2 linked regions of the Styela clava genome follow. The protein of the gene in region 1 interacts with the protein of each later gene in a pairwise test. Links are inferred from orthologs where the notes say so. Each region holds a gene or a part of one and is shown on either strand. Other genes may lie near its edges.

The links.
Region 2: the proteins of proteasome assembly chaperone 1-like (region 1) and proteasome assembly chaperone 2-like interact in binary tests that used the Homo sapiens proteins (3 or more experiments, as listed by UniProt). The link is inferred for Styela clava from reciprocal best matches to the Homo sapiens genes PSMG1 and PSMG2.

The regions. Positions count from the first base shown.
Region 1 is NC_135259.1:12,682,174-12,698,737, forward strand, and holds proteasome assembly chaperone 1-like, read right to left. Parts: upstream 5,250-16,564; coding exon 5,029-5,249; intron 4,696-5,028; coding exon 4,607-4,695; intron 4,460-4,606; coding exon 4,346-4,459; intron 3,715-4,345; coding exon 3,614-3,714; intron 3,450-3,613; coding exon 3,254-3,449; intron 2,605-3,253; coding exon 2,471-2,604; intron 1,874-2,470; coding exon 1,799-1,873; 3' UTR 1,469-1,798; downstream 1-1,468. Other genes in the region: modulator of smoothened protein-like, read right to left, coding at 8,353-8,874; serine palmitoyltransferase 1-like, read right to left, coding at 13,693-13,869, 14,311-14,425, 14,590-14,644, 15,097-15,289, 15,810-16,007. UniProt on the Homo sapiens protein: Chaperone protein which promotes assembly of the 20S proteasome as part of a heterodimer with PSMG2.
Region 2 is NC_135261.1:18,494,818-18,510,234, forward strand, and holds proteasome assembly chaperone 2-like, read left to right. Parts: upstream 1-9,314; 5' UTR 9,315-9,412; coding exon 9,413-10,189; 3' UTR 10,190-10,813; downstream 10,814-15,417. Other genes in the region: neurochondrin-like, read left to right, coding at 10,822-12,551, 12,630-12,858; uncharacterized protein LOC120329396, read right to left, coding at 13,865-14,702, 15,046-15,068. UniProt on the Homo sapiens protein: Chaperone protein which promotes assembly of the 20S proteasome as part of a heterodimer with PSMG1.

The sequences.
Region 1 (16,564 bases):
GCTAGAATTATATGAATATGGAGTTTTTTGGAGCGGGAACTCTTACACACTTGTTCACATGTTCAAAACCACCATTTTTAATAAAATATTTAACCACGTTCTGCTAACAGGTACTGACAGCTGATTTCAGCCAAGTCTGTCGCAGCTTTTTTGATACTATTTTTCAAATATAGCATTTAAACTAAAGCTCATCAGAGAACATTAAACTATTCAATTTAAAACTTATTTTCAAAAACACAACACTCAAAACTGCGAAATCGAGCCGGTGTTTACGACCACACTTGAGCGACTGCACAAATTACCATTGTTACGTCACCTTTGACTTATTGCTGATTGGTCATTGTTAACAAGGAATTCGATACTCCGGAAAACATTCATTTAAATAAATTTTGTATCAGGTAAAAAAAGAAATCGAGGGTTCAGCGGAGGCTATTGAAATACAGCAACACAATACCAGGAAATATTCGCAGTCCATTATTGCTCACGAAAATGCGTTTTGTGTCAGAGGGGAGGTTTGAAGACAATGGCACGTCTATTTTTGCTCACGAAAATGCGTTTTGTGTCAGGGAGGAGGTTTGAAGACAATGCAGAGAGGCAGCAAGAATCATAATCTTGTATATCGTAATTAGTTCTTCCTTGTCATTAGCATTCGCGCGTTGGATGCTAGCATGGTGGTTTTTTCAAGCTGGAGCATACAAGTGGATTTGAGTTCCAGGAAATATAGTTCAAGCCTTAGGAGAGAACAGTTGAGTGGAAGCTAAAGCAGTTATGGGTGCCGCTGCTCGATAACCAAATTTGGTTTCTCGCGGCTCCCCTCACCCTGAAATGCCTTTTATTTATTTGTTACAATTTGTATATCAAGTGTGCATTTAGTATGGTGAGAAAATAAACTTCTGAAAAAATCGCTTACTTGGATGGATGCGCAATATATGAAAACTCTAGGGTTTGTAGTATGGATTCACTATATTCAAAAATTCCTGACACTATTTAACATTTCTCTCCGACGCAAAGTTGACGACTGAAACCCCGGAGATGTCAGGAAAAAAATAAAGCGTATGGTAACCCTAAACCAGCATGCTCTGACACAATAAATAAGCGCCAGTATAATCACAGAGATATGAGAAAAATGTGAGTGTCAAGACTGGGAAACATAACCAGGGTAAGTAATAATTAATGGGATCGGTGCACGTTTTATCATGAAACACTAAATAACCAAGTGGAGATCTAAATGAAATATCACATGTAAATCTTAAGCAAAAATGGTAGTGCACCCACATTTCTATCGAAGTATGGTAGCACATTATAAAAAAAATATACGGTAAGTTTCGGATCCATGAAGTTATGAAGCTGAATAAATGTAGAATAGTAACCTTTATGTACGATTATTACTGGACTTGTATCTTTGCCACATTGCTAATGTTACTTCATTCTATCAGACTAGTGATTCTCAAAAATAACTGGTCGTATGCAAGTCTGATTTTGAATTTTATACTCAATGTATCCAAACTTAAAAAATAGAATATTGCATGCAAATAGAGACAAGGTAGTGCAATGTTCATCGATGCAAAAATAATCACCAACTATTGAAAACTAATATATAGCGTCTCAATTGATGAGATTATCATAGCAAGACCATATCATATCTGTAAAAACAGCGAGGCTAAAATGCAGAATACAAATTATGTAATGAAGTTATGGCACTGCTTGTGATATAGATATGATGTCTGTTATCTCCTTTTTGAAGAGTTGTCCATGAGTTGCAACAGGCAAATCAGGTTGCTTTCAATCAGATGTTCCGTCATGTGTACAAACCTACTCCAACATTACTATTTTTGACCGCATTGAATATTTTCTGTTTTACAGATTCCTGATTCTAAATAGATGATGGTAACAATAATTAACTGGAATAAGTCTATGAAGAGGAACAATGATTAAATAGTCCAGTCACTAAAATAGTCCCTTTTTTAGACCCTCATTGCATGGATGTGGTCAAAGACTTCTTGTACAGCAGCAATCTCCAGTAACAAAAATAGTATTGTAATAGCACAGCCCTACACCAGTGGTTTCCAACCTTTTTTTTCAAGGGATCAAAATTTTTTTTTAAATAAATTTGATAAAAACCTGCGGCCTACGGCTATGCTCAAATACTAAAGGGCATGTAGTACTTTCATAGTCGCAAAATTGAAGGACTTATATAAAACAAAGTAAAATTAGTAACTTTTAGGTTTAAAAACAAGCAACCCAGGAAAATCTTCACTTCAGGCGGCTCAATTTTGAGCTGTGAACCATAGGTTGAGAAACACTGCTCTATACTACAGAGTGAAAAAAATCTCTGAAAAAAGTAATGAGAGGCTTCCATGGAGTAATCACCGATGGCCATATATTCACAAAATTCTAGTCTAATCCACAACTACCATGAGTATTTATGTTACAATATCATAAATGAAATTGTGACTAGCCTTATACTTACTACTGATATTTTAAACTGAGGTGTTCCTAGCAGCTCAGTAAAAGCTTGAATTGATAATGAATCTAGTTGATTATTTTCAGTATAACAGATGTAAGCAGTTGCAGGAATATTTTGAAACTGACAGTGGGTGATGACTGTGAAACAAGAAAAGTGCATTAAGTGTAAAAGTGTAATTTTTTGATTACTCTCAGAATGTGACGCGGGCCATAGATAATGAAGCGGCCTGGGTTTGAACCACCCTGGTCTAGGCTAAGATAAGGTAATTATAGATTGATCACTGTGGGAATTTTCATCCTTAATAACCTTACATTGGTTGTGGCTCTGAACTTGACATAATGAATTCTTGGATTTGGAAGGAAATTTCTCAGTTAACGTACTCAATAACGTACCCAACTCTGTACATCAGACTGAAAGATTAATCTGGCATTAATTGATAAAAGCCTATGAAGGCAATATAATCAGACCGGCAACTAACTACTTGACCATTATACCCACAAATTGTATTAATTTTTGTTAGCTTCATTCATAAAGTCTTGAAATCATAGCATTTTACCACAAACAAGTATTCCCTGGGAGCTACAAGAAACGTCAGTTACTGCTAAATACGAGCTAGTAAGTTATCCACGTAACGAGCTATAACCTTCCAAATAATCCTTTCTTCCAAGAGGCTTTTCAGATCTTTGCAAGCTGTGACTTAATATGTATTATTTTTACAACCATGAATGAAAGACAACACGCTTGTGACAGAATCGGGCTTGAATGAACAAAAAAATAAACGCTTACTTGCAGCAGGTATACTTTTCATTAAATTTGGTTGTTCAAGTACAGTAAATACTGGATGATTCTTAGGTTTTGTTGTTGTGGATAGAGATCTTACAAACGGAGTATTAATTGAATTCATGTCTTCACATTTATATTCATGTATCGTGGAAGATGACAAGACGAACACATCTTTTAACGGTTTGACCATATTGAAGAACTGAAATTGATAAAGAGTGATGAAATGTGAGATTAAAATACAACAAAAAATATTGCCAAACAGTTCTGGATTCTCAGTAAAATATTGTCAGATTCTGTAATTCTCAGATTATGTAATGCATATACAAACGAATAAAATTTCAAAAAAACCTAAGAATTAATTACCTTTGCTGTCCATGGCCAAATTTGTTCTGGTGGAATATATGACTTACAGGATACAAAAATATTCCTTTTTTGTTTATTAAATTTTTCATAGATTGTTGACACTGAAATTAAAGTATATTGTATTGTTTTATCTGAAAGTTAAACAATGACAATACTGTTTTAAATATTGAAAACTATCAAAATTTAAAACATCAAAACCAATGTTGGATGCAGACACCCCCTTGAGACGAAACAGACCATCCCTTGGGATGATCATCATTTCCTCGACTGAATCAGTCAGATAATTAAATTAGATACTTTGAAGTAGTAGCGCATTAATTAGATGCAGTTATGGAATCTATATTCATGTTGTTTGGAATACTCCAATTACTGTATTTTATCTCATTTCTGAATATCCAAATCAATGTTTTAAAGATGCAAAATCATGCTATATGCCAAGTTTTCCTGTAAACAATAATTTTATACATTAGAAGTTCCACTGTATCAAATATGATTGTGATCAAGCGAATGCTGAAAGCTGCTCTGTGTGATAATCCTGTGCCAACCACTCTCGAATGGGTGGGAGATAATTATGGCCATATGCTATATGATTGAGCAGTCCTATCGTCTCTCCTCTCCATGGGATAAATATGACCAGATTCATTAAATTGAGACCTCTAGGTGAAGTGATAACATACATTTGCAACAATTTATATCCATCATAAAATTGCAATGTGTTCTTGAGTTACTTACCGATATTAGGTTGTTTTGAGATAGCTTCATAAATACAATCGTCCTCTTTTGAATTTTCAATGATTTCAACTACTTTGTCAGAATTCTGCAGGTCATAATATATTTTGAGAAAACCTAAAGAGAAATGTTAGTTTATATTTCAAAAGGCCTAGTGAATTACATCACAAATTTAACATCGTAAAAGTTTGTACAATAATATTATATTATAAAATATATAAAAACTACGGTAGGTCCGTAAAAAATAAACATGAAATAACTCACTCCATGCGACTTCTCCAGCAGCAATAATAAGATTATCACACTCTAATGCTTTCTGATCATGATCTGCAGACCATTTCAACACCAAGTCTCTAAAATAAAATATCAATAATCAATCACGGGATAACAATTGAAAACATTATATACTGTATGTATCTAGATAATTGTTCCACAATGCCTTTATTTTGATACATTTGTTCTTAATTTAAAACTTTGCCCAGAACATTACAAATCACATTACAAAAACAACTCTATAAAAAGCTATTACACAACCTCATAATTAACAAGTTTTCTTGCAGCGACCAAGAACAATTTTAATGGTAACAAGTCAAAAATTACCGACATTCAGCGATTTATAAGTTGAATCAAGATAAACCAATTTCAGTCTTGATGTTCATTAACATAGAAACAGAAGAATACCAAACCTTGGTTTAGAAGCATTCTCCTCTTCCTCCTCGTCAACAGCTCTTGAAATAACTGGTAATATTTCTCCATGAAAAGTTGCCATTTTGTAACAATAAGTACCGGTATGTAATATCAATACTATTGAAAATACAACGGACGTTGGAAAACATAAAATGCAATCAATGATTATACTGGACATGTGCATACTGCTAGAAGTTACTGTGTCAGGATATTGTGACATCAAACAAAAATATTTTCATTCGAGATAAAGAAATGATGTGAAAAAACATTTTTATGACCTAATACATATTTATGGACAAATCAAGTATTTGAGATGACTTGGAATATGAGCACAGTAAAACAGTAATTAAAACAAAATTCGAACAACAATTCTGTATATTATGCGCATTTAGGGTGCACAAATCTGATTTATTATTATGCAAATAGAATGCATGGCAGAAACATCTACATATTGTAAGATTTAAATAGGGGCACCTTTATTAATCTTATACTGAGATGATGTTGAATATAGACAAGATTTTTCAAACAGAAATAATACAAACACTGCTAGTATATAGGACTACATAAGAAACTGAATATTGTTAAAAAAAATACTGCGAATGTAACTTATGATTTACAATTCGGTGTTAATAATAGAAAAAATAAACAAAAACCTGGTAGTCAATACCAAAACATACAAAGACAATATAAATGTATAAAAGCATAATGATATCAAAATCAGGACATTTAAACTGTATAGAATGGCAGACCTTGAAAAAAACAGTTTAATTAGGCAAGGATAATTGATCAGTCAAGCATGTGATGGTGGATAGGCCTCGTAGGGCGGGGCTTGCCATAGTGTGATACCATCAATAATAAGACAACAAAATAGTCCAATCTTCTTCCAATCGGAGAGAGCCAATGATGAGAGTTGGGAATATATATTTTAGGAGTCCGACAGCATTAAATCATATCAAAAATGTCATAGAAGCAGGGATGGCCAATTCGAATTAAGTATTCGAATATCTCGTCATTCGAATATCGGAATTCACGTTCATAAGAATATCGGATATTTGTGTGACGTCACACATTTTCCACGCCGCTTTCGAGACGTTTCCGTTGAATAAAAACATTCTCGATAGAAACTTGCGCGTGATTGATTTCATCACTCATCAGCGTAACGTGTTATTTAGGCCCGTAAACGCCTTTACGATTGTGTTATTTTCTCTAAAACGAAAATTTTCTACAAATTTGTTCCACGATAACGATAACATTTATTTTATTTTTGTAGGCGCACGGAATTGTGAATCTGGTAAATACGTTCATCGGCGGCGAGTTTCTAAAGACAACGCAACTTTTTGATTGAAAAGCGGCAATTTAAAATACTGAAAATAAAACCGTAAACAATATAAGTTTTATTGAGGCCCGCAAAAATTTAAAAAACGATTTTCTAGGCAGTGAAAATTGCAAAATTTCGTGGGCCTCTGGCACACATTATGTTTGGTCGGCGTTTAGAAACATATCGTCACTAATTGAGGGCGGGATTTGCCTGATTATCCATTACCTCAAATTGCCGTCGAATATTTTCGTGTTAACACGATACAAGGTTTGAAACGCGACTTTTTCCCGGGTTGTGAGGATGTATATAATATAATTAATCTAAAGTATATTCAATCAATTTTATTGTGATGAAATAAATTTTACTCTGAGATATTACAGCATATTTATGGATTTTTCGAACGGTTTTATCTAAAAATAATCAGAGTGGCAGCATTTCGATCGAGCGAAGTCACTGTTAACAAGTACATCTAAATATTTGCCGAATTCGCAAAATACGGATCAAAACAATATTTTATCGGGCAGTTCACCTCGCGTTTTTATTTTTATGACCGCGGATTGCAATGGTATATAATAAGACTGGTGAGGATTTTATTTTGTCGACGCAACCGCAGGTTAAATTGAAGACAATTAAATTAATAAAGCAAGACATTTTAAATATGCCCGTGTCGGTCACGAATTCATCACTTTGCACAACAGAAAAATATATATTCGTTGTTATATTATTTGTTGTAAAAGTCGACTCTTTTAACAGGTGGCATAATCGAGGCGATGAATATGAATTTTTAATTTACTGCTGAACTTTATATGTATATTCATTGTATGAAATGAATTATACTCTACACTTAACAGGATTTTATATAATTATTTAAGATTTTTCTTACGGCGATAACGAGTTGGCAAGATTGCAAAAACACGTATTAAAATTAAATACATCAGGCAGTTTATCTCGTAATTTTAGGTCACAGATCGCCGTGGACCGAATAGTATTGTTTTACTATTACGTTGGACACATTAAATTAATATATAAAGATATTTTAGAATCTCGTAGTTGTCATGGATTGAATATTTTACGTAACAGGATGATCATTATACGCTGAAAAGACGGCTCTTTTAACGAGCGCGTTACAGGCGGCAATGGAAATTTCCGATTTCGAAAATCCTGGCTGCGCGGCTGGCAGTGGTGGTCATCTATTCTCTACTAATTTATTTCTAATTCCAAACACAGCAATATGTTACACATAATAACAATATGTTTCACAAAAATTACTATACAAATATACAAAGGTATTAGAATACTCTAGGCTTAAATATTAGAATTTTTAAAGGCATAATGGATTTTTGATTGTTGTTGCCTGTATTACAAATAAATTTTATTACTCTCAGAAAATATACACAATTATCTGAATACATGTAGTATTTTTGTCAATAGACTTGACTATTATCGTATATCATGGTACCACTGATAAAAAGCGTCAGTCAACTTCTTGGCTATCTTTTCATATGGTCATTTGTACAAATGAATAATTTTAATGAACTGACTGTGTCACAAGTTGCTATTATTTTTTATCGATAGCTATAAACTTTGTGTACATATACTGTTGGTTTGTGGCTTTATTCTGATATTTCTATTGAAGCTTATTTTCTAATTTACTGGGTTTTAATCAACTAAAACAAAAATGTGTTATTTTCGATTTTAGAATGTATTCGGAATTCCAGATTCGAAAACATTATTTTAGAATGTATTCGGAATAGTTTAGTATTCGGAAATGGCCATCCCTGCATAGAAGGTTGCTCACTCAGTTGCTACTCACAGTGCCTTGAGCTTACTTTCATGAAAAAATATGATTGATGAAATTTCATCCACACGGAAATGTAGACAGAAATAGGTGTGGCCATTTGGATCATGTCGCATGATTTAAAATAGACATTTTAGTAAAAATCATTCACATATCACAAACCAAAAAACTAATTTAATTATTTTTTATGACAATTCATGATATTTATCAATTCCGATTCATCATCCATAATCTCATTGGCATCATCAACATGCCCCAACCGGAACATGACAAGATAATGGAAAACACCCAAAGCAATTTATAAGAATCCCCAAGTCTCCATAATTCTGGCAATTTGAAAGCTTCACCTCCAACAGTAACTTGTCGAAACCCAATCGGAAATAACATTCCAACATATGATAAACATCCAATTGCTATAAACGCCATCCATCTTGCATAAATTAGTCTATCACGCTTCCAATGTGAAGATACAACAAGTAAACATGTTATCCCCAAACAGACAATTCCGGCTACTAAAAACAGTCGAGTCCCGAGCCATTCTGGTGGTAAATCTGGAGCAAAACAAGATTGTTTTCTGCCATAAATCGTTTGACATTGCATTGTTAGACCCAACGTAATATCACCAGCCCGTCCACCCGTATTAATCCAATCTGGGTGTCCAAGACTTGCAACAGCAAAAACTTCAGCAGTGACAAATAAAACTCCTGATATTATTGTTAGCTTATCCATTATTGAATACTGGAATAGCTACCTTGAGATTTTTTTTATGAAAAGAAAATATATATATATATATATATGTATAAATATATAATATCAGTATTATACAGATATATAACAAAACTGAATACTTAAAAATATGGGGGTTTAGTGCACCTAATCGCAGAGACACCATAACGACTTTAACGATAACCATAAATAAACGATAAATTTATAAATAAATAAAAATTCTGGCTGTTTTTTCACATCACATTTTTGTTAGCCGTTTTTTTAAGCAGTCGCGACATTTAGTTTCATGTCATATTTTTGTTTGGCATTAGGCTATTTAAGTTATGGCATTTAGCCTACTTCACTAGACTCAAATATGGTGTGACTTGCTAGGTATATTACCGGTATATAATTTATATCTACAATTTTCAGATTTTACGATATTATCTTGCACAGTTGCTAAGCTGTTGGCTGGTCTTTGATTCAATAACTGTAAAAACTTAATTCTACATGTGAACAACTGCTTATGTCTATATGTCCGTACGTGAGAATATGCAGCAATCCAGGATTACAATAAACCATAACGGTACCGCATACACCGTACAGAACAGTACCGGTACCAGAGCGGCATCGGTAGTCTACAGTTACTGATAAGGCAGTAAGGGTAAGCGATAACGTTAACTCCTACCTGTATACTCACTTTGCATACCGCCAGCCGATATTATTGAACGCGTGCTATCGTCAGCGTTTTAATTTTGATTTCACATACAGGTATTATAAGTCCCCTACTGTCAGACTGTATTTTAGGTTGAACATTCAATATCACATTATATAAAAAACATTCAACGATCGTTGATAAAATAAAAACACTGCGCGGCGCCGGGCAAACTCCACAACTGAGCCTTGTACTTCACGGCCATTGAAATGCATGCATGTAGCCTGATTGCTTGGTATTTATTTACGGCCAGAGTCCTTTCAGCTCCGGATTGAAAAATGTCATTTTTTAGTTTCCCATCAATCTCTAAATTTAACAGGACGATGAAGACTTATTATTATCCCATATTAAATAAAGTAAGTGTTCATTTATTTTCAAAAATATGTATTTTTTTGAAATTATGGAGTCCAGTAGTTTTTAACTCCATCTATAGAGGACTTGCACGGGTCACGTGACCTTGTTTACTGGACGGCAATAAAACAAAAACGTCCATTTGGCTCCTGTCAGTTGCAAGTCGGATTATACGTTTCCGTTTTGTTTGGCTGTTGAAAATGGTTATTTCGTATTGTTCCGCTGGCTGTACGTATAGTATAGACAACGAAATGGATCTTCAGTTATATTTCACTGTTTTCAAAAGATACGGAACGTCGCGCAATGTGGATATCATCTATTAGCAGGACTGCTTGGTGTCAAGTCCAGAAGCCATCTCACTTGTGTTTCACTGTTTGCGGACAGCACTTCGTTGATGGTAAGTCATAATGTGCCGTTATCAATTTTTTTTGAATATTCAAAAGCTAGCTCCCTCATTTTAATGGAAAGCAGATGACAAACTACTGTTGTTGGTAGGCGTAGGCCTACTTGCAGGCTTGACTCGTGTAAGGTATTAATCAATAATTGCCATAAGGTATTGTTTCCCAGGTAGCAGGTAATCTATTAGTAAGTGTGAAAAGTTGAATAGATAACTAAAGTTTAACGCCAGTGCTAATGCAAAAAATAACCAGAATTCAATTGAATTCTCCATCTAGGAATACGCTCGCCACCGCATCTCTGATCCCCCCGGGAGTTTCACAGGTTCCAATCCCATGCGGGGATAGTTATGTGCGAAGGGATTGCAGCTCTCCTCCCACTGAGGGTGGATTACTACATCCCCCACCATCAAGTCCATGCTTCTAAAACAAATAACTGGCTAACTAATCCCGACATAAAATGGTAATCGTACGATGTTGCACCTTGCAATCTGTCCTCAACCACAGATAAATTCTATCCTAAAAACTACCCACATTGGTAGGCATTGTTGCGTTTTAAATTGAAAGAAATCTTCATTTAATGGTCAGAAGGTGTTGTCTGATTGTTTTGTTAGTTAGCAGGTAATTTATTACTGATCTGATACACAAACTTGGCACTGTCAAATGATGATTAGTGTTTAATTTATTTTCAGGAAAAAGGGAAGATAACCCATTATCAGCTGCTTATATGTCCCATCCATATTTGAATTTTCGCCATCCCCAGAGAGGAAGAGAATAGTTAGAAAAAGGGGGATTTTGAAGAAAGGCAAAAGGCAGGACCATTTCAACAAATTCTGTCAACTTGTATGCGTTGCAATATTAATTTGCAGTTGTTAGCATAAACATTTAATGTGTCTTTCGACTGGACCTACCACACTTTAAAAAAAACCGCCTACACCTCTTTTCACTAGAACCATTATACTGTAAAATATTTGATATAAATTACCCCCGAGGCATCATATCGCCCATTTGAAAGGGCTGTGGAGGCAGATACATTTTTTACTCTAAATTATGGAATGTTACTTCCAGGTTATCTTATCCTTGCTTATAGATATCTTGAGGTTAGTGACTCCAACTGACCCATGCATGCCACACTGGAAATTCTCTTGTGTACCCATAAAATAAGGCCTTGAAAACAGTCGAATCTGAGCACGATGGATTCATGTGAAACACGTAATATGCATTTAGAGGCAGTTATTTGTTTTCAGAAGCATGGACTTGGATGGTGGGGAATGGTCGTAACCGATCAGCGGTCATGTGAACCACCAGTAGAGCCGCAATCCTCTCGCACATAACTATCCCCGCATGGGATTGAAACCTGTGAAACTACCAGGGTGATCAGAGAGGCGGTGGCGAGCGTATTCCTAGATGGCGAATTCAATTGAATTCTGGTTATTTTTTGCATGACCACTGGTGTTAAACTTTAGTTATCTATTCAACCTTTCACACTTAGTAATAGATTACCTGCTAATTAGGGAAACAATACCTTATAGCAATTGATTATTAATTCCTTACTGTCTTACACAAGTCAAGTCTGCAACTGCAAGTAGGCCCACGCCTAGGCCTACTAATAACAGTAGTTTGTCATCTGCTTTCCATTGAAATGAGGGAGTTTGTGAATATTTAAAAAAAATTGATAACGGCACACTATCACTCGCTATCAACGAAGTGCTGTCCGCAAACAGTGAAACACAAGTAAGATGGCTTCTGGACTTGACACCAAGCAGTTCTGCCAATAGACCAAAGTTACCCCAGCCCACACTCGCTCAGCCTGACGTCAAGAGGTTAACCAACTATTTTACCACTTTATAAACGTTATTACATAAAAACTTGGTGGCTATGACAATATAGAGACCATATGTGATATACACAGATCAAATGCAATACCAAGCACGGCCCAGTTACCCCTAGTATGGCCTGTCAAAAACGAGTGTGGGCTAGCGTCTCACGAGTGTGGGCTGGCATCCTACGAGTGTGGGCTGGCCTCAGCACCAGAACCTCTCATAGTCCGGCAATTGATAGCACAAAATGGCCACAAATGCCTGGAAAATGAATCAAAATCAACTGAACAAATCACTGATATCTCTAACCAGAGTTGCCAGATATGACGGTAAACAAGACAGAAATTGACCGTCGAATCTCAAAAAAAGAAAATTGAAATCTTTGCTAAGTGACTGTTCTTTTTATGAATAAAAAAACGGAAACGTATAACCCGACTTGCAACTGACAGAAGCCAAATGGACGTTTTTGTTTTATTGCCGTCCAGTAACAAAGTCACGTGACCCGTGCAAGTCCTCTATATTCTATAATGTATGTCAGGCATGTCCTACCTTTTTGGTGTCGCGGGCCACTTTCACGTGGGGAAATTCATTGCGTGCCGCAACGTTTTTACCAAACTTAAATAGCAACCCAATTCCGATTTACGTTAGAATTTGAGCGTCGCTGAATCAAACGCCTGCATTGCACAGCAATTTTGCGAATTTCTGAACACAAGATGCACGCAAAGACCAGGAAATTTAACTGACCTTTTATGAAAAATGCATATACATTGGCGTAAATAATCAAAAGAAAAAATAAAGTCAGCTATTTTTCTCTTCAACTAGTTCAAAACTTGCTTTTGGTTTCCATTGCACAACTGTTTAATGTCAACTGGTAGCTTTAATATCGCACAATGTAACTAACTGGCTAACTAAGCCAAAATTGCGGCCCGCGAGTTGGATATCCCTGATCTATGTGATGGTAGCCTACATCATGTTGAGGATTGACCACAGCCGCGATGATTACCCAATGTGTGTTCGTGGATTCGAATCCCATGGTGGTCCACACAACTTGTGACCATGCCAGCTGCATAAATTCTTGCTATTAATAGCTTCAATATCAATTGTTACTTGTTAGGTTTTATTTTTCTGTAAATTTAGAACATCGATATATCTAAGCTAAAGCAAATAGGAAAAAAAGCAATATGAAGCCAAAACTAGATGCAGCAAATTCAATATGAAAGTCTAGAATAAATAATGTGTATCATAACACTAGAAAAGCTACAAACATTTCAAAATTATAAATATTATATATAGACAGAATGGACGCAACTGTGAATTGAGACCTGGTTTTGGTCTATTTACATCAGTAGAGAAGAAGCCTGTTGTTAACTTTGAGCACTGACAAGTAGTGATTGTAATTATTGAAACATGACTTTATAGCAAACAATATACCCTTCATTGAAATAACTAAATAAACTTGCTACGACTACAACATGGATCATGAAAATACTTTAAAATTCAAAACTCCCAACACACATTCAAAGTTTGGATTACAAACCAATCTTGCACAAATTCTTCAATTTTACCGATCGCTTTCTAACTTGGCTGCAGCTTTTTCAATGATATTTGCTGCTTGTCTAAGTTCATCTTCTGACATTTCCGATGAGACACACACTCTAATTGAGGGAGATTGATCTTGGAGCAGTTCTTCTTGTTCTAATCTTGCAGCGAGAGTGAGAGCAACTCCTTCTTTCATGCACTGGTAAACAAGTTAGCTTTTGTGAATGAATTTGTCAACACAGAAAATCTTATGAATTAGTCTACCGTATACGGACCATGAGGCGCACTTTCAGGCGCCTCCCTTAAAAATTGATTGTGCGCCTAATGGATAGATCAGGTAATGCTTCATACTTTATTACTTACACTGTAAACCAGTACCAGTATGAATAAAATACAATAACCATAAAAGATGTTTTTTGTTTAATGATATCTGTACGATAACCCTATACTCCTTAAAAATATATTGATGAAACCTCAATTTAAGCAATTTATTGACAATGCGCCTTATAACCCAATTGACTTCTGGTCCTTGGAATACGGTATTCGAAATTAAAAATTTTTGTGATACATTAGCATTCTAAACCATATTGTGATTATAATGAAATGAATTAAGAAAAGCACTAATCAAAGTGATACATACCATATCGACTAAACTTTCCAAGTACTTTTCCTCACGTTTACGATCTTTAAATAACTTGCAATGGAGATGAAAAACTGGTGATTCAGGATTTCCCACGACTTCAAGGCTTGGAATGCTGTGGGAAGGAAAACTGCCATTAAAATTCAAACCTTTTCCTATACCTAGCCAATTTCGCGCTTTATAATATTAAGACCATTTAAAGTCATCAAGAACAATATGAAAACATTCTACGAAATTGAACAAATTCCGTGAAAAAATATGGCATGTAAATATACTTACTTGCTTAACATTTGTTGCATAAAACTTCCATTTTTTCTCAGAATTGAGAATCTACCTAAAATGTTAAAATTGGTATAAAACACATTAATTATGTTACTACAGCCTTTTGATGTAATTTTGAATGTCTTGAATGAAAATGCGCTTCATCAGGAATTTGTCTATAGAATAGTGTAATACTTAATTAACAACTAATTATGAAACAAATTCGATATTCTATAGTTGAAATAAAAACAGAATCTAGTATCTTCAACAGCCAGTCTTTTAAAAAGATTATTAATTATAACTTAGCATTGGAGTTACACCCTAATAACCAATATTCTATAGTCTCGGAAAATACTGATGAACTCAAGATTAGGTAGAATTTTTATTCACAAAATAGAATCAGAAAAAAGTATACTGGTAGTATTGAAGATTTTAAATCAGAATAAAACAAGAAAAAATTTATCCAAAATTAAATTTATAACAACTCAAGATTTTTGTAACATCAGCCTAAGAAACAATTCTCACTTGTGTCTTCTTCCATGATATCGAGAGCTTCAATAGCAGCACAAGAAAGAAGCGGAGGAAGAGAAGCAGAAAACACATATCCTTGTCCTGATAATCTCTGATGATCGATAACATAGGTACGTCCAGCACAAAATCCTCCGATAGAAGCAAGAGAGTATTCCAGACTTCCAGCAACGAGATCTACTTTTTCAATCTTAAAGAAAGTAAATGAAAATTTTCTTATTTCATATGAATTCAATATTCTAAATCATTCTGCAGATTGGAACTCTTGACAAGATTGTTTAGTTAATCGTCAATTTCATGGGGTTTCCACCCCATGGAGTTTGCAACCAAGATCTTCAACTTGCAATGTCGACACTGTTAGGTGCGACTCGCCAACTATGAAGTTATTGTCCCCTCGTAAATTAATTCATAATAGATGATAAGCTAAGGAAATGAGCACTTAATATAATTCTGCTTCGCGCAAAGTTCATAGATGATCCTTATAAGGGTCCACAATAAGGTTTTAGACTGGCCGATTATTATTCAACCTCTGGTATGGATTTTTGGTTGTTCGAAATGCTAATATTGTTACAAATAATTGAAAGAACAATCTGGTATATAAAACATTCTACCTACTGAACAGATTTTTCGTTTATATATTAAATCTTAATCCTTTATATCCATAAATTTGAACTTTAAATAAAAATGTACTATAAACTACCCCTACATACCGGTATATTGAAATGTTCTGTCACTCCACGTCCATGTTCTCCAAGTACACCGAATGAAAATGTTTCTTCAATAAAAAGTCGAACTTTATATCGATACTTAAGTTCAATAAGCTTAGGCAAAGGACAGATGTTTCCAGTGTTTGCATATATTCCTTCCACAACGATGAATTTTCGAGTGACAGATGCACGTTTGGGTTCCTTGATAAAGTAATTATTTTATTTATATGATTTTGAAATTAATGTTTAGTGATCAAGATTTTGGTTTGGTAAGCCTCTTTCTTTTTGCAATTCTAACCAATATGTAAGCACATCTGAGACAGCTTATCAAAATTTTGCTTTGAATCTACATTATCACTATATAAAGGCACACATTTGGAAAAATCTTTAACAATCATTATTGGGGAATTATGATAATTATATAAAATATCAGTATCACCGTATTATGTAAAATTTTCATGTGTCCACAGTAAACAATAAAATAACAAATAGCTGAATGTGGAGGACAAAATGTGTTTTTTACTCCAAAAAAAATTTTCATAGCAGAATATATTCTACATTTTTTTCACACAATATGATGGGAAGTACCATAAAAAATAACAGCATGGATCTTAAAAGGGAAATCTATGTTAAGATTTGTAGAAATGGGATAAGCGCTTAATCCAATTCGAAACTTGAACAGGAACAATTCTCTCCAAATGCGTTTATTATATTAGTATTTGCCACTATCACATGGATAAAAAATAAATATAATAACA
Region 2 (15,417 bases), on another chromosome or scaffold:
GGGAGAGTTATGTGCGAGAGGATTGCTGGTCTTCTCGCCGCCGCAGGGTGGTTCATGTTACCGCTGGTCGGTTGCGGCTTACTCCACCATCAAATCCAAGCCTCCAAAAACAAATAACTAATTTATCCCATACCCGACATGGATTGGTAACCGGACCAGGGGCATTGCTTCGCCATATGGTTAAGTCGTCTTATCAGCTTTCCTCAACCCCGAAATAAATATGTATACATATCCTATCCTTTCTACAGGAACCCAGTTTCTAGCAATAATACGATTTTAGACATGTTGCATTTGCGTTTGTATTACGATTAGTCGCGAAATTTACATCTACTATTGGAGTCAAGCACCTCAAGCTAGCTGTTGAATGTGATATAACAAAAAAGAAAAATTAATGAAAATGACGTACCAGCGAGATTCAGAAATCGAAGTCCCTTAACTGCGGACAGCGTGATCAAATGTTTTCAAGATACTTTTTGAACAGCCAATCTTTTCGTTAAAGGTGAAATGTCACTTGGAAGATATGTTTATCCGACCCCAATACAAAAGACTGCAGGAAAGACGCCAGGACCTTAATAAGTATATTGTTGTTATTGTGATATATTTAATATCAATATAACAATGTGCTGCATAAATGTGTAGTCAAAATAAGCTCTAGGAACCAACTGAAAACCTTTTCTAAATCTGGATTTAAGTGCAGATTATTTTTTATCAACAGTAAATTCAGATTTGGGTATACGCATTGTGGTCACACACTCACACCATTATTATACCGTTGTAAGTAATCCCATGATTAATAAACATAGTTCATAAAATACCGTTATACTTGTCTTTTCGTACATGTAGGTGCATTGTTCAGGGCATGTTGCGTGAAATTTTGCTTCTAATTGCTCGTGCGTTTGCGGATAACCTTCGGTAGTTTCCGAAATATTTTCACCTGAAAGTTAATAATCATAATTACGCATGTTTTGATTTATATTCAGAGCTTCGTAATGCAATTGAAATATTAGCTTGAAACAAATTGTGTTTAGGGCAATTGAAATTAGGAACAAAATACCTGAAATAGTGCAAGAAAAGAATATTAGTAGAATATTGGATGATGCTTGGGTTCACAATAGTAATTTCATCTTTAAAATATAGAAAAGGGGGATGATACATTTGCTATTCGGCATTCTATCCTTAACCAAGAAACAACAGACCGCGTCATTAATTTGTGGGCAATATGAACAACAACCAAAATGAAACAGTATCTCAAAACAACTCATTTGCAATAACAAAACAGCATAGCCATCTCTTTTTTCTAAGCCACTTCCACTCCCTAATACATTGTTTTGTTATTTGAACTACTAATTTACAACTAATAAAACTTCCCATCTACAAATAAATCGCATATGCCCTACGAGCAGGTGTGTCAAAACAGAGCAGCAGATATGACCAATTTGTTTACACATTAATGATAAATAGAACTAAGCTATCGTTACGCCCGATCCAACACATCTACAAACAGTCAGCAAACTGGGCAATTACAGACGAAACCTTTCAATTTGTCACTGTGTCGTGCTACCGACAACAGTAAGCAAACTGGGTAATTACAGACGAAACCTTTCAATTTGTCATGATGTCGTGCTGCCGACAATACAGATCTGTAGAAGTCGTCAACGTGATGGTGACGGATGGAAAGAATTCACTCTTGCACGACGCTGAGGAAAATGAAAAAGTCTTAACTTTGCCAAGTGACTTTATTAGATACCTCCCCTCAATCCTCAAATATGTTCCGTTTATTTTATGGAATTAAGTTTTTTCTATAGTTGTTATCCCTGCTGTCATACGCGCTGCTCCCCGTGGCAATGTCCGAAATACATAAACAAGAATCCAATTTGTGAATAACATCGCTATTTGAACTAAAATGATAAAAAAAAGTAAGCATTCTTGCAAAGACATTCAAATTGCTAATTTTCATAAATTAATTATGTCCTAATGGTAGTGCCATTTTGCGTCATGTTTTCAATATATATATATATATATATATATATATATATATCTAATACGGTAGTTAAGTAGACATACCGCGCTAAAAAAGCGACAGTTATGTAGACGGAAAAATTGGGTAGACATTTTCCTGTCCGCTTAATTATTCCACGTTCCGTAATTAAAACGTTTTGCGATATTTTGATGAAATCTCTTTTTCTCTCCTAAAACAGTATTAAAAATAATATGTTCCTTTAATATTTTTCAAATATCTGCACATTTTCGCCAACTTTAAGGGGACAATGGTTCTGCTGGTTTATAATCAACGGGTTTAATTTTCGTACATAAAGTGGACATTTTGTTTATGCAAAAATCTTTTAATTTTTCGGTATATGTTTTTACGATTTTTGGAGAATAGGTTTGATAATTTTGATACAATAACCAGGCAGAACATGAAGATCGTCCGTTCTGTTTTTTACAATATAAGCTCAATAAACTGAAAAGGACCTCAATTCACAACTCCGTACTAAAGAGGCTTTGTGACGCAATAGTGAAACTGTCGGGTTCGCCGAGAACTTTACCACGTTTGCCGTTTTGTTCGCAAGTAACCTGGACGCCGTGAGGGGATTGGGATCTTCATGAGTGCGTGATTGCCGAAATTTAGATAAAATAGAACAGTTGTGTTTGGAGAAGCGATCCAAGTCTTTTGTGTCAGGTGTTATCAGTTACCCAGTGAGTTGAAGTCGAGTCATAATAAGCAAGGATTTCAACGTCACCGAGGAATGCTGCTGGAAATCATCACTCATCGGATAAGGTGATTAGTCATAACAATTTTTAATATCAGGGTTACTATATTTTTGGTGTTGAGATTTTTCACGTAATCCAGATTATCAAAATATAGACTACTGATACTGTTATGCTTTTACTGGTCGTAGTTCTGATCTGACCATCAAAATAATGCTACGACTGGGTTTGCGTTTGTAAGAGTGTGTAATTCAGAAGGATTCCAAATCCAGATGAAAATACAAACGAAGATTGTGAAAATTCAATGAATTCAATTTTTTGTCGAAAAAGAAGGATATACGAGAAGCGAGTGGTTGACGTTTGTATAGTTTGGTGTAAATAAAAATATCTAATACACCGCTCCATATTAGATTAAAATATTTCATCTTCGGAAAACAGTCTTGAAGAATTGCATTGCTAGCAATTTTGTTTTGTGATTTGGCACATATCCCTGAGTTATTTTACCATCCTCATCTAGTTATTTACTGGGCTGTATTTTTTGTTCACATTTAGGTGACTCTCCAACGAGATGGCCCACGTTTCAGAACTTGGCAGACGGAAATGCGGGTAGTGATTCGGAGAAAGCTGTGCCAGGAGGTGACTAAATGAGTTTGCTATGCTTGTTTTTTTTATTAAATACAGTATCGTAAATTGATACCAATGAATGGTAATAAACCAAATCATAATATCATTTGTAGCCCATCACAAATAGCGCAGCTATCTACGAATAATTGTAGTGCACCTTTTAGAAACTCTGGTTTATTTGAGTAATAATGCAATTATCCATTTCAAACATTTCGTTTGTTCGATCAATCAAGAGTAGCGTAATTCTGAATTGGACTAAAACACTGTGATGATGTTTTGTGACTTATGCATGTATTTTTGACCAAAGTTTCAGATAAGTCAACAGACTATACCGCACCATCTTCAGAATCACTTTCAATAAGCAATGTAAGTGATTTCAAATAAAACCATATATATGGAAAAGAAAAAGGCTGTAAATCAATTAAAAAAAAAGCTTTTAAACAAACGCGAACCAGAAAAGAAACGACGAAAAGAAAAATATTTGCACGGATTGGTATATCTTGCGAGAATTTTATTGTAAAGCTTTAAGACATCTCTGTATAATTCATAAAGATGAACCGGCAGTGAGCATAATCTTGTCTCTCCTCAACAACTTAACCTAGTGGGCATATCCACATTCGTATACATACTTGGCATACATTTTTACTATTTAATTATAAATTCAAAATAACAATCATGTTTTTGTATTCCGAGTTGGTGCAAAAATTTTAAATAAATTGTGCAAAGATTCTAAATTGATATTGAGGTTCAATAATTTCATTTTGATCGCTTGTATAGTTGACTGTATAATCAATCACTGCTATAATTAGGCGCCCTGATAGGTAGACATTTGAGTTATAATTGGTGTGATGCTTTTCATTTTAATTGACATGGCAAAATTTCGTTTAGCGTTTATAGGCCCCACTGAAAAGTCACTTAATTGAACATTTGAGATATGTTGTGTATAATGTTTCTCGATATTTTATTCAGAATTTCGTGTTTTAATTATATACCCTCTGAAATGGTCGGATGCTTGAAATTTTTTTTGAATGCTTCTCAATATTATTGCCATTCCAAAATATCATTTTGCATTTACATGACACACTTACGTAGCTGAGTAAGTTACGATTTGCGATTTATTTTCTGTTTTGTTTTTCAATATGGTTTCAAAATTTTGTTTTATAATATTTGTCACTCTCAAGTTATCAGATAGGTGAACATTAGAGATAAATTTTGAGCAATTTTCCACAACATCAAAATATGATTAGTATTCGAAATTTCGTATTTCAGGTAAATTTCACACACTTAAGTGTGTGAGATATATTTTGTGTAAGATTTCTCAATACGATTCCAGAATTTTGTTTCAATAGTTGTATGCCACACTTAGGTGGTCGGATATTCGGACATTTGAGATATATATTTTGTGTAATGTTTCTCAATATTATTTCAGAATTTTCATTTCAATTTTTGTATGCCCCACTTAGGTGGTCCGATAGGTGGACATTTGAGATATACTTTGTGTAATGTTTCTCAATATGATTTCCGAGTTTTCATTGTGATTGTTTTATGCCACACTTAGGTGGTCAGATAGGTGGACATTTGAGATATACTTTGTGTAATGTTTCTCAATATGATTTCAGAATTTTCATTTCAATTCTTGTATGCCACACTTAGGTGGTCGGATAGGTGGACATTTGAGATATATATTTTGTGTAATGTTTCTCAATATGATTTCAGAGTTTTCATTGTGATTGTTTTATGCCACACTTAGGTGGTCGGATAGGTGGACATTTGAGATATACTTTGTGTAATGTTTCTCAATATGATTTCAGAATTTTCATTTCAATTCTTGTATGCCACACTTAGGTGGCCCGATAGGTGGACATTTGAGATATATTTTTTGTAATGTTTCTCAATATGATTTCAGAATTTTCATTTTAATTCTTGAAAGCCACAATTAGGTGGCCGGATAGGTGGACATTTGAGATATACATTGTGTAATGTTTCTCATTACGATTTCGGAATTTTCATTTTAATGTTTCATGCCACACTTAGGTGGCCGGATAGGTGGACATTTGAGATATACTTTGTGTAATGTTTCTCAATAAGATTTCAAGAGTTTTCATTTTGATTGTTTTATGCCACACTTAGGTGGTCGGATAGGTGGACATTTGAGATATACTTTGTGTAATGTTTCTCAATATGATTTCAGAATTTTCATTTTAATGTTTAATGCCACACTTAGGTGGCCGGATAGGTGGACATTTGAGATATATTTTGTATGACGTTTCTCAATACGATTTAAGAATTTTCATTTTAATGTTCAATGCCACACTTAGGTGGCCGGATAGGTGGACATTTGAGATATACTTTGTGTAATGTTCCTCAATATGATTTCAGAATTTTCATTTCAATTCTTGTACGCCACACTTAGGTGGCCGAATAGGTGGACATTTGAGATATACTTTGTGTAATGTTTCTCAATATGATTTCAGAATTTTCATTTCAATTCTTGTACGCCACACTTAGGTGGCCGGATAGGTGGACATTTGAGATATATTTTGTGAGATGTTTCTCAATATGATTTAAGAATTTTTTTTTCAATTGTTGTATGCCACCCTTAGGTGGTCGGATAAGTTGACATTTGAGATATATTTTGTGTAATGTTTATCAATATTATTGGAATGTCATAATTTTGACTTGGTATTGATATCTTGACACTCACAACATAGCATCTGTTTAATCCATATGTTACACCATAGGGTTGGAATAGGCGAACATTTGTGATATGCTCTGTGTATTTCTCAGTTTCAAATATATAACACGTTTGGATCAATTTGTTTCGATTTGTATACCTTCACGTTGCATTTTGAGTATTTTTTGATATCGAAGAATATTTCCAAAACCAAACACAGTGCATCTCCCATGCACGAAAGACGGAACATTGAAAAAGAAATGCTATTTTTTGTGATAAATATTGCTAAATCGTTCGAATCCATCGGAAATTGAAGCGAGGTCATACGCTTTGAAATGCGTATTAAAATAAAAGCAACATCATTTATGTAGACATCCAGAGCGACATATAAGAGGGGTCCGGCTTAGTGCCGAAATAGGCTAAAACATTTGGTGGTCTGAATTAAGTGGACGAATTAAGCGGACAAAAATTTTATATCTGTTTTCGAGAGGATTATGTTGACTCTTTTTCTCCCTAGTTGTCAACGGCTCTCGCGCTCTCCAAGCACGTATTTAAAAACATTGATACGGACACAGGAACGACGTCCGCTTAAGTACTGCAATTACGGCAGGTCCGTTTAACTACCGTAATAGAGTTATATATATATATATATATATATATAATAAAAAAATGTATAGTTGAAGTGTTAAGCAGAAGACCCTGAGTCTCTAATTATTATCGAGTCACGGGTCAAACTTTGACTACAAAATCTAGACCAGGGGTGGGCAATTTACGGAGAGTTTTTGACCAGCCTGCTGACTGTACAACACTCTGTAATGTGGTCCGACGCATCATTCGTGAAAGTTGCCGATCGCTCTACTCTCACCGCACTGTCAGTGCGAGCTGGTGAAATAAACAATTGCCTTAGTGAACAAACAATTGCGTTAGCACACTTGTTAAACAAGCAATATAAGGTCAGAGCAGAAAGCGTCGTAAACATTCCCCACTACTGTTATCAGTTATATTTGAAACCTAAATATAAAAAGATTTTAGAAATTAGATTTTATATTAAGTTTTATTAACCATGGATTATCCCAAGAAACGTGAAGTTGACAGAGAGTGTCGAGCATTTAACAAAAATTGGATATCGAAGTATTTTTTGTAATAATCCGGTCCGCTGAGGGCTTTATTTTTTCACATCTGGCCCGCCGACTAGAGAAGTTGCCCACCCCTGATCTAGACGATTCAAAAGTCAAATATTTTAGTTTGCTTAGTTCTGGACAAGGCATTTCGTCTGGAATACTAGACTAGGGTCACCATATTTGAAAAAGCAAAATTCCGGACAGTGCATGACTATTTTCATGACCTCGTAGTAAAAATTAGGCGCACGGTACGAAATAAAAATGTTCCTTATTAGCAGTGTGCACAGTAGGATTGCAGATGCCGTAAAATTCCGGATTCCGGACATTTGAGCATTTTTTAAATTTTTCCCGGAGACAAAATTTAACCCTAAATTCCGGACATGTCCGGAATTTTCCGGACGGTATGGCAACCTGTACCTAAAGTCACTATATCCGTATAAAATGTGAGCCGATGCCTTCAGTATTTTTGCTTGACGTCATGAGAGTGCTTACTCTTATGCATCAAAAACATCTACCTCCGCACCCGAGTTGTCGGGCAGATCACCATTTTTTGTTATATTTGAGTATTTTCGCTATTTTCAATGCCAGTTGTCTTTCAATATCTCTGATAGTGTCAAAAGAGCGCTATGCTTAAATATATGGGCACGTTTGAAATAAATGAAAGTAATAGCCTTCTAAAGAAAAATTTTATCTTTACCAACTGAAAATTTCGGAGCAATTGATCAAGTAATCAAAGAGAAAGGGGACTTTTTAGGTTTTTCACTAGGTGTCCAACGTGTCAAAGAACAAGGATAAAACAACAACAACATAATATTGAAACGATCGTTATGTCCACTAACGTGTCCAATCGACGGGCAAGCACGACACAACTACAAATCTGGCCAAAGAAATTTGTAGGCCTACAATAGCCTAAAAAGTAAAAACACTTCATCTTGGTGAACGAGAAATTAATACCGGTTTTCAGAAACGCCTACTGGTTCTATTGCTGCCGGAATATTGATGAGTAATCACATTCAAAGAAAATGTGATTGATGTTCTCAACGGATGCACTGTTCGAATCTACTAAATTAAAGCTATATAAAATATTCAGGACGAATGCCCTACAAAATAGTATATTGTTGAAAAACTTGGGTTTGTCTCAATATAGTACAAAAATAAACATTGGTACAATATTTATTCCAATTATTAATGGAATGTTCATTTAAATAAGTCGTCTACTCTTTTGACTTTTATTGGTGAAATAAATTGTTTTTCGTTATATTTCTTCGTTCAGTTATAAAAGAATCTATATCAAAATTATGAAAATTTTGCAGCCATTCATGTGTGATACATCCTTTTATAGTATTCGGTGTATTCCGATGCCCTGCCATAGTGTTCACGCAAATCAAAACAAGCCAATCGTTATCATTAACTATGTTCAACGACTATCGGAACAATTCAACACCTTCATTATACTATGATTGAATAAAAAGGCTTTCTTCTATAAACTATTTCCCTATTTTGTAGTAGTGGTTGGTTAGCGAAAATTTCACTATACAAATTTTGACATGCAAAGTTAGGTTTCTCATCTTTCAAAACGCAAAGTTTTAGGATACTTACGCTACCAATTGACATCAATTAGCGTCCAGATATTGTTCCAAATTTTGATAACGTTTCGAACAGAGCATTTAAACTTTTTTGACATCTTTTCCATGAACACAGTACCATCATCTGCTAACATTGTCAATTTGAATAGTGGCTTTTGTACGTAATTCCATTGTTTCTAGTGTTTTCGCTAATCATGGTAGCAACAACTTCAGCGCACAATAAAAACAATTAAAAAAATAATTTTTGTACTTAATTCCATTAATTCTAGTGTTTCCGCTAATCATGGCAGCAACAACTTCAAGGCAAAATAAAAACAACTAAAAAAATAATTTCGAAGACATTGGATTTTCTTGTTCTTTGACGAAATTTTTTGACAAATAAAAACAAGTTATTACTAATGACACAATTTCTGGAATCCTCGTACATTACTTTTATCCTACTTTTTTACTTTACTTTTTTTGGATATTTTTTTTTGAAGCCGAAATGTTTAAAAATATAGGCATACGGCGAATGGCCCGTCATATGCTCTGCGAATATCCCTGGAATGTCCAGAATATTTTTAGGAATTTAGCGCCGCATGTGAGCAAATAAATTTAGGGGATTTACCTAACATGCTCCTTCATAAGTTCACGTTTCACGCGCGTTTTGTTTGCGCTAATTAAAGCAGCGAAAATTAAGTATATTAGGCCGGGCCTAGATGGAATTCTTCGCTTTATTAAACGAGGAAATAAATTTTGAGAATTACACACTGGTAGTACCAGCAGTTTCAGTGGGAAATGTGGGCCAACTTGCATGTGATCTTCTGATTAACACCTTGGAACTAAATAAAGTGGGATATTTACGAACTTCATGTGTTCTTCCAGTGGTCGGATCTAATGCCTTCTGCAAAGACGACTCGGATAATTCACTCACATTGACTCTTGAACTATTTATTGACGACAGCAAGAAGTTGGCAGTTTCACAGCAGCGAGCTCCACTTGTTGCAGGAAAGCAGAAACAATATTCTACAGATTTTGTATCATGGATAAATTCCAAAGGATTTTCTGAAGTTATTTTGCTGACAAGTTGTCATGCATACGAAAGAACAGATAATGAAATACGAAATTCACCTGTGCGTTTTTTGGTTCATCCAGATGACAAGAAAAACAAGAGAGAATTGACAGATAAAAAATTCTTAGAACTTCAGAAACGATTAATGGATTCTGGTGACAAAAACTATTTTTTTCCTGGTGGAGGATTTGCGAAAAATTTCCATGACGAATGTGTGACTTCTGAACCAAATTTCTTTTCAGTAATTTTGATGATATTTTGCTCGGAAGGAGACAATATACCAGAGGCTGTCTTATTAGCTAATGCATTAAATTCATGGAAAAATTATAGGAAAATTAGTGAAGACAATGGGAAAACTGTTTGGTCTTTCCCAGCATCTTGGAAGCATCTATATGGTGCAAGACAACCTTTGTCAATATTCTGAAATTGTCCGTTTTTATGTTCTAAATGCAGAAATGTCACTTCATTCCAGCTTATTGAAAATGCTGTAAATTGTTACTTTTAACATTCTTTCAGTCTTAGATGCATGTAATCAAATAGAAAAAATGTTATAGTAGTATGAAATAATAATGACCAAATCATAATGTCTAATAGGCTATTTGAACTTGAATGCTCAATAGCTAGATACAATAGTATACTTTATTTTCTTGTTCGTAATATTGAAAAAATACCTGGAAATATGTCAAGAGTAAACAAAACTTAGAAGCCATATTTTTAATACAATCAATTCAAACCAAGTTTAATTAAGTCCCATTGTCAATTCACAATCATATCAATACTTGTGGTTATAATAGAAATACAATCGGATTTTGCTATAAAATATGAATTCCTTGGACTGTATCTGTTATTTTGGTTCGCTGCCAATGTTAAAACTATTGTCTGTGTCATGAAGAAGTTTGTCAAACATTTAGAATTAAGTTTTTGCAACTTTCTAATGATTGCAATTTGTATTAGAATGTCTTTTATCATGGCCTAAAAAAATAAGAAATTTGATTTGCATTTCATATTTAATCAAGTTACATATTCTTATTGTTGCTACATTTTTAGAGTATAATCATGTCAGAAGATATAATTGAAATCTCTAATGAGAAGTTTTTAGGAATATTATCTATGGTTGAAAAAGCAAAGTCTGATAATGAGAGATTTGCTGCCTTGCTTGTTGTGTCAAAATTAACGAGAGGAGGATCTATTTTGCCAGAAAACAGAAAGGAATTGTTAAAAGCTATTGGAATTCAATTTCCATTGCGTCTTGTCAAGACTGCATGCTCACAAACAACAGAAGAAAACAAATTTAGTTTTGTTTCGATCGGGATGTCAATTTTGTGGTCATTTTGTGCTGATGTTGAGTTTTTTAGAGATGAAGGCCTGGAAGCTATTGTACCACATCTTCTTAAAGTTGTTAAATTGTTTTCCAACGAAGAGAAATATGAATCTGTAATTGAAGATTGTATGGATTGTCTCATTGCTCTTACATATTTTGATGACTGCATCTCTGAGATCATTGAAAGTGATGCTTTTAATACATTGTGTCTATGTGAAAAGCAGTCTGACAAAAGCCATCACTTTATTTCTATGCTGTTATCAAAGCAACCCCATCTTTGGCAAAACAAACAGTTTCAAAAATGGTTCAAATCACTTGCAAATGTTTTCAAGATAGACCAAACAAATAAAAAATTCACTATTTGCACTCACCTGTTCCAAATTTTAACTGCATATTCTAGCGAACATTTGCTTGGATATCATGAAGCCATAACGGACATCATGTGTGGCCTTGAAGATGTTTTGTGTAGTAAACTTAACACCGAGCAAAGGAAGTCACCGATACAACTTGCCAGTGAAATTTTTCGCTTGTTTGGTATTTCTTGGTTCACAATGAATTCGAAAAAGACAAATTTTATTGTTATCGTGACAAGACTGTCATGCATTGAGATTGGACTGTTTTTAAGAAACATTTCTAATGACATAGAGTCAAACTTTTCTGAAAATCTATCGGTCATCATGTCTTGCTTCTTCATATCGGAAGCATTTTGCTCAGCAGTTGCCAAGTTTGAACAAAATGATAGTGAGAAGGATGATATTCTATCTTTTGAGCAAATTCGACTCACTCAACCAGCATTGGCTGATTTAGCCAACAGTGTGTCTATTTTTATTTCATCTTATTCAGTTGATGATGAAACAGGCATCCCAGATACAGAATTATTGAATTTATTACTTCCTATTTGTATTCGCTTTCTAGGGTCATGGCTTAACATTGAGAACAATGTAACTTCAGCTCAAGGCAATGAAACACTTCCAATACTGAAGCAGGTTTTGAAATATATCGTAAAGCATGAAAACTTGTTATTGCTAGAATGCACCTTGCCTGCAGTGATGCAAGCAGCAAGTGCTATGAGCACCCATGACACTATAATTAAAAATGGTATTTTGCAATCCCTCATCTGCGTTATTGATTTAATTGAGAAAAAATTACACTACCCAGGAAAAATGGATAATTTAGTTACTTTTCATATTGTGTTACAAAGCCTAATAAGTGTTTGTTCTACAATGACTAATGTTGAATGTCAAGACTATCACAACGACTTGAGTAAAATATTTTCTATAATGACAATATTAGTACAAAAGCCATTGTCAATTCAAACATTTGGGTACGTATACCCACTCTCGTCAATTTTATTGAACAAATCATCATGCTCCATATCTGATGACATTTTATGTAAAATATTCAAGTTTCTTTTTGATGCATATGAGGTATCTCCAACTGATGGTCACCCAAAAGTCAGTCCCAAGTAAGTAATATTTCATTGCATTTATAATTATAACATATTCATTTGAATGATTGTCTCATGTTGAAACTCTGTTTACAGTTACCAAGAATCTTGGCAAGAAATTTGCCCTTTGTGGAAACTCTGTGCGGAAGAAATCACATCCTATATTGCCAGTACACCTGAAGTCAAAAAGAAATTGATTGGATGTGAACATAGAGTGTTCTTACGCAACTTATTTGATGCTGCATCTGCTGGGAAAGATGAAGAACTAACAAATATCTTTTTCAATCTTTTAGAAGTTTTGAAACTGAACACATTTGTACAATAGGTTCTTAATAAATTGTCATACTTTGGTATCTACCGACTGTTTTGGAGTTCATTCCAGTTCACACAGGCGGCTTTGCGGTCTTGCATGTATAACACTCAGAAAATCACTGATCATATTCATTTTGGGTAACAAAAGCTGATAAAACAACGAAACACAGCACCCCTCCTAAAGTTCATCCATGACTTACTTATATGCACTAATATACCTAACAATAATACAACTATTTGACGATTTTGAAATTGTACCTCCAGGGGCAAACTTAATACTTGTTTTATTGATACATTTAGTAAATATAATCATAACCTTTCAGAAGCGAGAGTGGTTGAATTGGCCCATTATAATAAGAGGCTCACGGATCAGATTTTTTGGTTTCATTGTTCAAATCCATGTATCTCATAACTCAGGGGCCGAGTGCGCTATGTCATTATGCAGTCTTGGGGACTACATAGTTTTAGGCGTTTGCTGAATCTCGGATTCATTGGATGAGTAATGCTCTACAGGAACCAGATATCAAAAGCTCAACAGCTGAAAGCGACTGCTTTTAGAAATTTCAACGGCCTTCATATTAATTTGGAAAGGGACAGCAAAATAGGGTTTCACCATACTTGTGCAATGCCCCAACTTTATAATAAGCAGCTATTGTTTTTTGGCCATTAAATAGACGGCTCCACTACATTTTTCAGTAAGACACAGATAATAATGCAATATATCTTCATGAATTTATATATTTTTAAGTTGTGTATAACGGATATGATGAAGACAAGATATGCATTATGGTACAAGACAGTAATGTAACGTTTTTAAAGACTAATCTGGTACGTAGACACACAGATAAAGAAAAACTATCGTAGAAGAAGAAACTTATTGCATTTTAGAAGTTATATACAATCTATATGAACTTTAGGCAAAGGTGGCTGTTTCTTTTGTCAATATTTGTACCTTACTTATTAATACATTTGTGTATAAGTAAATAAATTCAGCAAAAAGCAGTAGATGAGTGACATGCCTACACATGCTGGGGGTCTTGAAAGGTGGGTTTACTATCGACATCATTAGTTGCTCCTCCAGGCATTTGTGATTGGTTTACAGAACCAATATTTTGGGGAAGCACTCCAATTACCTGACGACCTTGAACCAAGTAGATTGGTTCCATTGGTTGTGGCACGGGTGGAGTAGAAAACTGCATTCCGACAGCAGGTGTCGAAGACGGGCCAGAACTATTGGCATACATCACAGGTTGACTTTGTAGTGGTTGGTAACCTTTATTAACATATTGCTTTATCTTGGGATATGCTTCCTTTCCATTGCAGCAAACAGCGTGACAGGCAAATCCAAATTTCACCCATGAGATAATGAATACTATGAAAGACAGCAGAGTGATGCAGCCATCCAAAATGCGTAAAGTCCACGGATATGAGTATTTATCTGGTCCGGTCCGGTCTGAATCAGTTTGTGACATGACACTTATCATAATGCTGCAGGTGGCAATCCAGGCGGTTACAACTGACATGATCATCAAGGTAACTATAAAACATGTTGTTTTACGCCTTGATGAAAACAATCCAATCACTCCACTGGCGATATAAGCAAGTCCAGACCAAATTCCAGCTGATTGATATGTGCTTTCATAGTCACATCGTCTCTGGTAATCATTCCAATAGCATGTTTGGAGAAGGGCAAAAGTGAGGATGGCTGCACCAACACCAAACGACAGAATGCCCAGAACAATCACGGCTATGCTCAAACCACGAACTGATTTTGATTGAAATTTGCGCAACGTGCCATTTTGTTCCACGCTTGGTTCAGTCAAAGGTTGCATTGTCCTTTCAAATTTTCTCCAATACCTTGAAAAAATAATATTAAAACTATAATGCTTGTATTACATTTTCCTAGAAGAAAAAAGCAAGACTTAAAATCAATTAAATTACTCAGTAAAAAGAAATATATAAAAACAAATAAAAAAAATGAACAAATGCTTTTACCACACCAAATTAATAATTTTATGAGGATTGCCAAATTGGATACCGAACTAGTTAACAAGAGTTAAATACTGTGGATAGAAAAATACTTCCTCAAGAGGTATCGTCAAGCTGATTATAATTGGAATCACCTAATGCCAAATTTGTCATCAATATATTCGGTCTGACAGAAGCAAATCAACAATAAAGATACAAGCTATTTCATTACCTGCATGAACATGTATCCATCATTCAATTTCCATTTCATTTGTTATAGGCAAATATAGTAGTTTAAAACATATTAATATTATGATACATGGTCAATATTTATAATTCAATCGAACAAATTTATTTTCATTAGGAATCGCTTGAGAACAAGGTCAGAAAATGTACCCCGCACAGACATATTTATTATAGGCTTCCATATTCCTACCACTGCAGGCGCACGCCGTGCAACTTATGCCCCAGACTCGATCCTGTGGCAGGTGCACGTCCTGACTTTAGTGCCTCTCGAAAATGCATGCGAGGAAAATCCATTTTGCATAGCGGGAAATTTGTGATTACTCATCAGTCACCCTTATATCTGACAGTATTACTGTAT